2 linked regions of the Neodiprion lecontei genome follow. The protein of the gene in region 1 purifies or fractionates together with the protein of each later gene. This does not show direct contact. Links are inferred from orthologs where the notes say so. Each region holds a gene or a part of one and is shown on either strand. Other genes may lie near its edges.

Region 1 (4,218 bases):
TTGATGTGTTCGAATGAAACCAACGCTGAAATGGTTCATTCGTCAGCGTTGGTTACATTCGCATACACCTAACGCATCAAGAAATCACCCCGTTGGGTGCCCATCTTTGGGGGTCGTTTTTATCCCCTTGAAGTGTTCTTTGGCCGATAAAAAAAATACGTTTCGCTTGGTTTTCTAGTCTACTGTAACATATTAAAAAATAAGTCATATTGAAGAAATCGACCTGCGATACCTTTCTTGTGCGCGATCGCATTGCTTCAAACTTTGAGAAACTGTAGGGTTTATAATCCCGCTTCTGTGGTCGCTATTTGTGTAAAGAGAGGTTTGGAAGTTTGATATAAAAAAACGCAAAAGATACGAAGTTCAATTTGTACAAACTAGCGTCAGTAAAATAACTTCAAAGCAAGCGAAAATCGTCTACAAGTATAATACTTACGCAATTTCCATTAATTTTTCGAATTCCCCTCAACGATTTTTCAAAGTGCGGAACGATTTCATTACTCGGGAAAGAGGAAAAGATACGAAGTACTATTTGCTTGCTCACTCTATACTCCGACATCCCCGTAAGTTGAAATCATGGAGAAGCGTTGTGTTTTAGGACCCCTCGTGTTGCCAGCCTGTCCCTGTCACTATCCCAGCAGTATTTTTTACGACGATAAGATTTGGGACCAGGGACAAGAGAGGTACTTCCGCTGGCGAGATGTCAGCGGTGAAGCGGAAAGACTCGACGTCTACAAGCCTGGAGCAACCTACTGCATCCGGTCCTTGTTGGTGCAAGGTGGAGGCAGCGCAGCCGCCCAGCACTGCTGCTACGATGGGAAAAGGAGACTTTTGACCAGAGGTTCCGGTGCTGGAACTCCAAACCTCGTCAGCCCCGAAGTATCCGGTGTTTTGCACGAGAGAATCGATATCCTTCCTTGGAGGCTTTGCAAGGGAGATTTCTCTAGGTTCGAAGATATTTTTCTGTAACCTCCCTAAACTGGAGGGGTAATACGCTACGATTGAAAATCGAAGTCCTGTTTCTCATTATCTGGAAATATGAAGTATTTTTTAAATATTTAAACTCACGTGTGTATGTTTAATCTTTCAGATTCAACAAAGTGCGACCACCAAACAATGACAACCAATGCAAGGGTAACCCGGATGAAGAAGAATATCAACGACAAATCAATGAAACGAAACATTACTGAAGTACAATACGAACCAAACATCTGCATATACAATAATGTAGCTTTAACTCGAAACAATTAAAAATACTAGTGATATATTAAACTATTACATGTTTTAATGTATCTGGCACATCCAGTGTTAAAAACCTTCAACAGTGTAATAATTTTTAAGTGTATTTTTGTGTAGTTTTATGCAAGTTCGTGTAGAGGTTAAAAAAAATGTATACATCCTTGTGCACTTTTCCTTTTTCACCAGTCGGTGAAAATGTAACGCAGGTGAGTGTGCACAAAGGATGATATTTAAAATAGAAAATCTTACACCACATCGTATATGGTATTTGTTAACATAATTAGGCTTTCCAGTATTTAAAAAAAAATGGAAACCTGTTTCCACCGTTGGACACGTTGTGTGATTTGCAGAATGAAGGGAATTTTAATAACATTGAAAATTCCGATATCACTTCACTGATCGCATTGGAAACTTTTCCGTCTTTAAAGTTTCACCAAAATCTTATGGAGTAGGTACTTTTAACATCATTGCGTCAACAAACTTTGATTACCTTAAACATCTACGCCGAAATCTCTCGGAGCCCCTTGATCCGCGCCTAGTTTACCTCGTAAATGAATGCGGCCCTGACTCTAACAATGAGATACAATCAGAGGTGTACCTACCTACCTACCTTCCTCGGTTCTTATTCGAATGGGAAACCGGTTCGAGTGAAGGAAGTCACGTGACAGCCCGAAGCACTCCGCGTCTATACCAAAGCAACACCGAAGCACCAGCGACGGCGCAGGGACGCTCGGAGAACCAGTGAAAGAGAGTTGCCATGGATACCGCTTACAAACAGAAGGTAAGTCTATTCCGTTTCGATAAAATTTCACCTAGGAGCCATCAGTGTTTACCGTGAATCCCGTGAATTATACTCAGAGTACCATGGACTGGGGAATGGAGCTAGAAGTTACCTCGAAAAAGGTATAGAGCCGCGGAGAACGCGACATGTAATCAATGGCTCGTTGTCGACGAGCGAGCGGTCGCAGGATTCTAATCTACGTTGTTTCATTATTCGCGGTTGAATAATCCGGCCGTCATTCTTCGCTGAATGTCCCTGTAAATAATCAAATCTCCGTATCCTCAGCTGCTACCTCGCCTAGGCCGGAGAGCTGGACAATCTAGTAACCTGCAGGAGGAGCTCAAGTCGGACGAGGAATTACTCGACAGCCCGATATCACCGTCTTCCGAGCAATCGGCGAGGACGATAGCCGGAGGCCATCAACCCGTGGCACCGCCGCGTTCGCGGAAGACAGGCTGGGCCGACGAATTTAAAAGTGGCGGGAAGTACGTTGACGGAAACTGAAAGCTTCCGCTTTCGCTGATCGTTTTAAAAATGGAAATTGCCGAAAGCAGTTTGAATGTCATTCGTAAGACTAGAGTTCGGGGGAAGATCGGATCAGTGCGTAAGATTATAGCCGTCGATTGTTCTGATCAGACTGTTGATCGGAACGTTTTTTTATTTACAGGATGAAGAGCACCATCAATATAATAGAACAGTGAGTAAATCGTAGTAGAAGTAACGAATCAGGCATCTCTAGTCACTAATAGATTATTCCTTAGGGAGCGTTTTCGCGGGGTGGACAAAGATGAACCAGAAGATGGTAAATTAATTTTTGTTTACCCTTCTTGCTCATCTGTTACATAAAATAAGGATCTTTATTTCATCAATTTGTCACATTTGTATCGTATTATTTCCTACAATTATACGTAATACTATAGCGCAAATTACTTGCAGAAATACCGGTCATACCGGACTTGGACGAGATTCAGGAGGATAACTTCTTGAGCGAAATTGCAAACACACATTTGTAAGTCATTGATAATATTTTTTCTACGATACGCGTGTCGGAATAAGTTATTTTAATTATATCTGTGTTGTAACTGGTCTATTCTTCGTTTGCCTTTAAAGTTTTAGTTTTAGAGAATTACAAACTAAGCAATTTACAGTTATCATTGAAATTCGTAAAAAAATAATATCTTACGGAGGTAAATATTTTAATATATCTTTGCGTTGCAGAGGTGGTGTGAACCGAGTGGAAACGTACAAAGAGCTCGACACGGATCTGTATAAAAGTACAGCTCTATCGTCGCTCGACGACGTGAACCTGTCATTACTAACGGAAAAATTATATCCAGATAAATTAGTACGTGAACCAGACGAAGTGTGGAACTGGGATTTATCGTTTACACAGATCGCGTCTGAAATAAATAGCGAGAAGCAAAACGAGGTTAAATCCTAACTAAAAACTGTTCGAATAATATAATTATCATTTATGACTTATGTAATAGTACAATTAGACATTTCCATCAATAAAGTTATTTTTATACGTATGTACGTTTTCACCACATCCCTTCATTGAACATGATGTTGTCCGTAATTGTTTGGAAAAATTGAATAAAAAACATGGCAAACTGCGTCCGCAGTGCCTGTATATGGAAGCGACAAATTACCTCGTCTGACCTATTCGATTGCCCCCCAATTTGGAAATCGCGGTAGTTCGAGGAGCCACGTGAGGACTCAACCGTGCCGGCGCACAGGGCAAATGTACGCGCAATCGGGAGTCGTACACAAGCTACTTGAAGCGACCACGTGACAACACCCACTGAGCAGATCTGCCTTTGTCTAACGTTAGCGATCAATGTTCAGCTGTGCCATCACTAGCACACACTTCCGTTGGACAATTTCGCGTTGCTCTGTTTTATAGTAATCGTCAAATGCATCTACCACTTGCGAGAAATTCAAGAATCGTCTGGAAGAACTCTGGCAATGTTACGAAAAGATGTCATCCTTGAAGTTTTGCGGGGAATTCAACAAAAGCCATAAGATTATAAAGACATTGAAATCATGCGGCTCTAATAGCAACCTATTGATAAATTTTCGATGAAAAATACAGAGCCGAGTTGCTGCGTTTAACGCGCAGCCATCTATGGACTGAAATTGAAATCACTTACACGCTAAAGCTTGATTTCTCATTTTTAGTGCTTGCCAATGATTCG
Region 2 (5,199 bases), on another chromosome or scaffold:
CATTAGCATGCTTTGAGTTTATCTTGTGTTTAGCATAGACAATGTGTAATATCCTCTACTTAATATACTTTTATCATTTCAGAACATTATATTGGAAAATATGTTGAACCAATGATATGGCATTATAATTCCAGAGAGACTTTTTGTTTGCCAGTAGGTTAGTACTTTTCGAATGATGTATGTAGAGCCGATAGCAAATTTCCTGAATGTTTTGAATCTATTTATTGTGAGTTAAATAACATTGTAAGCATTACACAGACACTTATGTAATCAACTTTCAGGTTTATGGGACAAATATAGTGTTATATTTTCAAATATCTGGGCTGCAACAGCTTTTAAAGGTGCTACCGGATCCTGTCAACACATACCCGTGATTCAACATCATATAAGTAACCACGAACGATGGTTAGAAGAGTTGAGTACTCATGTCAACAAAGTTTGTGAATTCCGTGGAACTGCATTCACCGGATGGTCGAGGCATGTGCCGTTTTGCTTATTTTATTATCACCTATATATATGAATAATATCAGTCGATTGTTTTTCTTTACTTGTTCACCACCAAGACTATAGTTAAAATTATGCTGAACAGTCTGTGTAATGTATTTCAGATATGATCACTATGCCACAATGTGCGAGCTCCTGCCAACAGCAATACCATCTCTGGTGATGTGCTTAAAAGTCTGGCTGCACGGATATTCCGAAGAAAGACACCTAGAAGTAGCTAAAAGCTTGGGCTATGTAGACCATCCACTCCACATAGTGCCGCAACAGCGACCAGCTCCCATACCAAACAAATTGTTATTCCCTGGATGGCAGCTTGCAGTAGGAATCGAATGGTTCCTTAACTTCAGAACCAAGTTTCACCATGTCGTTGATAGCGATCAGTAAGGGCAGAATATTTGTACTTGTACATTATCAAGGTCTGTTCTAAAAATATGCCAATTCCTCAACAGAATAGCAACATGGATGAATCCTTGGCAAATTGCAAACAACTATACAAATCCTATGCAATTGGGGAGTTTGGTGACGGCTTTGAGCGAGTCAGTATTGTTTGCCTAAGTATTTTAGTGCACATTTTCCAACTGGTGTTAAGTTCAATCGAAAGCACTCAATGTATTTTGGATGTGACGTATTAGTTCTCTATGTTTTCATAAAATTTCAGTTTGTTGTTGGAATTATCATCGCTGGAGGGCTATATCCGAGTTCAAATGGAAGTTATTTTGTTTCAACCGACCCTGGAAGAATGGACTGGTACACATATTTATCCCCTGAAGAATAGATTGAAACAACTAAAACAAGATGCAGAGAATCAGTTGAAACACGGCTGCAGGGTGTGAAGATTAATTGTACCTCTTGACGAATTTTATTGGAATTGGGCAACACAATCACTTGAGGTGCTTCAAAGTAAAAAGACAACCAAATATCAAATTCATTCAATGAATTTTAGCGGCTAATAAGTTGTACAGAATTAATTAAAACTGGCCGAATCAATGCTTGAACGTGATATATTATAAGTATTAAACGTGCCATGTAATTATGAGAGGGGTAATAAACTGGATTTGTAATTAAGAAATATGCCACCGAGTTTGCTGAACATAATCATAAACAAACGATAGCACAGTATTTCGATATGCAAGGGTGTCAAAATTATATCGTCAATCTTAGACCTGCATATTTTTCTGGAATAAAAGTAGGCAGACTTTCGAACTTCTAAAATCTTTTTATATCCTTTGATGTGTCTGTCAAATTTTAGATCAATCTTTCGAAAATGCCCACAAACTTGTAGCAAATACTCGGTGAACTAACTCAATTCTAGTCTGTTAATTTCATATCGTAATGGTTATACGAAAAACAATGACAATATCGAATGTATGTACATACATACATACATTCATGTATACATTCATATACTCATACATTAATTTATTAGCTGTCAAGAAAACACACAATAAAATATGAAAATGTATAAATTGGAGAAATTAAATGAATTCAGAAAGTTTAAGCTTAATTCAAGCATTTGATAAAATAATGTAATTAAAAGTGCCTATCATTTGGAGTACATTTATATGTTTTATGGAGTATTAGGTATTAGAAATGTCCAGACCAAGGGAACGCGATGAACAGGAGGCACTCAAGCTGGATGAGCAGTTCAAGGATTCTTTGGCTCGAGTTAGACCTTACATTTTAGCCCTCACAGCGCCTGAAGATGTGCAGCTCTGCCGGCTTTGGTTGGATAAACTGAGCTATGCCTCCACGCAACGTGCACTCAGGAATGAGTATCTGATGGAACTATGCTGTCAAGTGGAATCTGGACATGTAGGTGGGATGTTTAGCCAACCGCCGCCAAATGGACCTCTGCCAGTGTTAAGGAGATCGTATACTCCAATGGTACAGTATCTGAAGTGAAGTGGTTTAAAACAGAGTGTGACAAAGAATATTTGAACGAAATTTAGGTACACGGAAGTTCCTCGTGGAGCGAGTTATCAGATGCGAGCACAATCCCATATTGCGGATGGCCAAAGAATTATGCAAAGAGCATTCAATGCCAGTTCACCAGGAGTAAAATACCAAACCAAAAACGTGACACTGATTCGACCAGTACTGGTCGTTGCGGTCACATCACAAAGAATATCAGTGCATCTCGATGCTACGAGGGAAGTAAAGCGGACAAAAATCAAATCGCAATTTACGAACAAAGGATAGAGACCTTGACCACTATTGTGAAAGAACTGCAGATACAAAATGAACGTTTAAATCAAGAACTAAATCGTTTGCAACAAAATTCTACTGCAAAGGAAGTGCCTCACCTTCACGCTACTATCAAACAATTATCGGCAGAAATTGGAACGTTGAAAGCCAAGTGGGTAACAAAATCCGGTAATAAGCTATGTCTAATATGAATCATCAATTTTCTCATCTCTAGACTAATGGAAGTAAAAAAAATGAAGGATTCTCTTGAGGCAAGCAATGAGGAAGCCCTCCTGCAATGTAAGCAAAGTATGGATGAAAAAATTACAGAGTTGAATATGCAACTGCAAGAATTCCAATGTAAGAATAGTACCTTGGAAAATAATATTGTTGAGCTGACTGCCAATTTGGAAAAAATTACTAGGGCAAAGGTACGACTGCGTATTACTCTTTGTTGGCAAGTAGTGACAAGCTAACAGAATTTCTAGTTCTATTTCAAAATCTACAATGTATACATGATGTTTGAATCAAAGGATGAAGAACTGTGTGCAGTAGAAAGTAGTTGCTCTGAAAAATTGGAAGCTGCACGACAGCAGCACGAACACTTAATCAAACAGAAGGATGAGGAACTGCAAAAGAAAGATACAGTGATCAGTCGGAAAGAGGAAGAATTGGCATTGATTGAGTTAAATAAAAATGCTGAAATTGAAAAACTGAAAACGGAGATTGATGGGCTACAGAAGAACTTGGAGGCAAAAAAAGATGAAGTATGTTCGCAGTTCATGAATTTTTTATCTGAATCATACGTTTCTTATGTTTCAATAACGCCGCACAATGACCGTATTTTTTCACAGGAAGCTAAATTGAAAGCTATTGTTACTGAGCAGTGCTCAACAATCCAGCGCGAATTTAATAAAATGAGGGCAAATATGGAAGCGGCGAATCAAAAGCAGAATCAAAACCTTATCAATAAAGTGGCCAGTTTAAAAAAAGGCATTTTAAAATTGGAAAAAACTAAAGAACGAATGAGCCATGAATATGAGAAGCGCATTTATCATATTTTAAAGGTGCATATTATTTCCGAAATACATTTTACCCTCTTTTGAGATATTTTTTACAAGTTGCCTACACAATTATTTGCATATCAGGATAAAGAAAACGAAGTTAAAGCCTTGCAGCTACAACTCCAGGGTCAGCGTAGTGAATTATCGATGTCACTGAGTTCGGAAAAACAGTGCGAGCTAGACAGTCTAGTTGAAAGCTTGGAAGAACGTTACAGATCACTGTTGGCTGCCGCAGATGCGAGTGCTGGCAACCAAAGGCAAAATTATCTCAAGGTAAAATGTAATAGTGATTTTCACGCTTGTATAAAATAATATATTCTCCTGTTTGCTTACGAAAATTTATGATTCCTTTCAGAAAATGAGGGTGCTAGAATCAGAGCCCGCGTGTTTTACCTAAGTACTTTAAATGTCGTCGGTTGATATTGTAATTCATTTTTGAAGGTAAATTTGTTTGTATCGTGAAATTCTTATCAACATTTTATAATAAACGAAATGCTATATTTTAACTGAAATTGAAATTCGACACCGAGTAAATGAATATAAAGATATTTCAAAAGGTTGGAAAAAATTAAACTTCAACATACATAAATAAGAATTTACTATTTGCAATTTTTGTTAAAATACATATAACTAAATAAGTTGAATGTTCTTTATTTTGGGAAATGTATGATGCATTCTAAATGAATCGCTTGTTGACAGTTAGGTGACCCAAATGACCCAAATTTTCTTCCTTGCAGTGAAAATCCGCCATGCGCGTTTTCGATCAAATAGGAAACTAGTAGAATTCTAGAAAAATCAAGTAAAAAAGAACCGAGGGAACTCTTGGTTTAAGAAAAAAAAAACTGCTAAATAAATCTGTCGATCTGTTGAATAATTAACGAATTTTAATCCCGTATACGTGCTCAATTGTAACAAAACTTGACTAACTATTTCTACGTCAAGTGTTTGTTTACACGAAATGTCAAACGATCGATACACAATTGATTTTGCTATGAATTCGTTATCGAGAAACAACCAAAGCGAGCTTAGAACGTTTGAAAAACCGTAAATTTTGTCATTGATATCAGAGCTTCTAGACCGAATCAGTCGATATTAGGCGCCGGTTGTGATCTAACCTATCGTAGTTTCACGAAAATGCTTACATTTAGTGTTACATCTGATACTGAAATAATTTCAGACCCTCGTTTGCCTTGAGCCGATTTGGGTAATTCAAACGCCACGATTAAATTGGAGAGCATTTCATAATGTCGCTGTATTTTGATACTCGAGTACAAAATCCTGAGACTGCTTCTATTAGTACATACGCTGCATGGCATCCGAACTATCCGCTGTTAGCTGTCGCTGCTTATTCGCAAGACAAAGGAGGGTTTGTTACAATTTACGATGACTTGGGCGAGCCTCTGCAGGATGTAGAATCACCCGCGCACTCTGTCGCCCAAGTCACCGC

What was found.
Region 2: the proteins of intraflagellar transport protein 43 homolog (region 1) and intraflagellar transport protein 140 homolog purify together in Homo sapiens (affinity purification with mass spectrometry; 3 studies listed by BioGRID and IntAct, counting the BioPlex papers as one, with this or other methods). This does not show direct contact. The link is inferred for Neodiprion lecontei from reciprocal best matches to the Homo sapiens genes IFT43 and IFT140.

The regions. Positions count from the first base shown.
Region 1 is NC_060262.1:41,936,889-41,941,106, reverse strand, and holds intraflagellar transport protein 43 homolog, read left to right. Parts: upstream 1-2,020; 5' UTR 2,021-2,103; coding exon 2,104-2,142; intron 2,143-2,305; coding exon 2,306-2,505; intron 2,506-2,687; coding exon 2,688-2,717; intron 2,718-2,769; coding exon 2,770-2,822; intron 2,823-2,956; coding exon 2,957-3,029; intron 3,030-3,238; coding exon 3,239-3,461; 3' UTR 3,462-3,556; downstream 3,557-4,218. Other genes in the region: uncharacterized protein LOC124293645, read left to right, coding at 599-947, 1,091-1,190. UniProt on the Homo sapiens protein: As a component of IFT complex A (IFT-A), a complex required for retrograde ciliary transport and entry into cilia of G protein-coupled receptors (GPCRs), it is involved in ciliogenesis.
Region 2 is NC_060261.1:8,582,053-8,587,251, forward strand, and holds the start of intraflagellar transport protein 140 homolog, read left to right. Parts: upstream 1-1,966; 5' UTR 1,967-2,094; coding exon 2,095-2,388; intron 2,389-2,453; coding exon 2,454-2,860; intron 2,861-2,923; coding exon 2,924-3,119; intron 3,120-3,221; coding exon 3,222-3,455; intron 3,456-3,542; coding exon 3,543-3,755; intron 3,756-3,836; coding exon 3,837-4,025; intron 4,026-5,199. Other genes in the region: hexosaminidase D, read left to right, coding at 83-157, 282-477, 609-884, 954-1,040, 1,163-1,337. UniProt on the Homo sapiens protein: Component of the IFT complex A (IFT-A), a complex required for retrograde ciliary transport and entry into cilia of G protein-coupled receptors (GPCRs).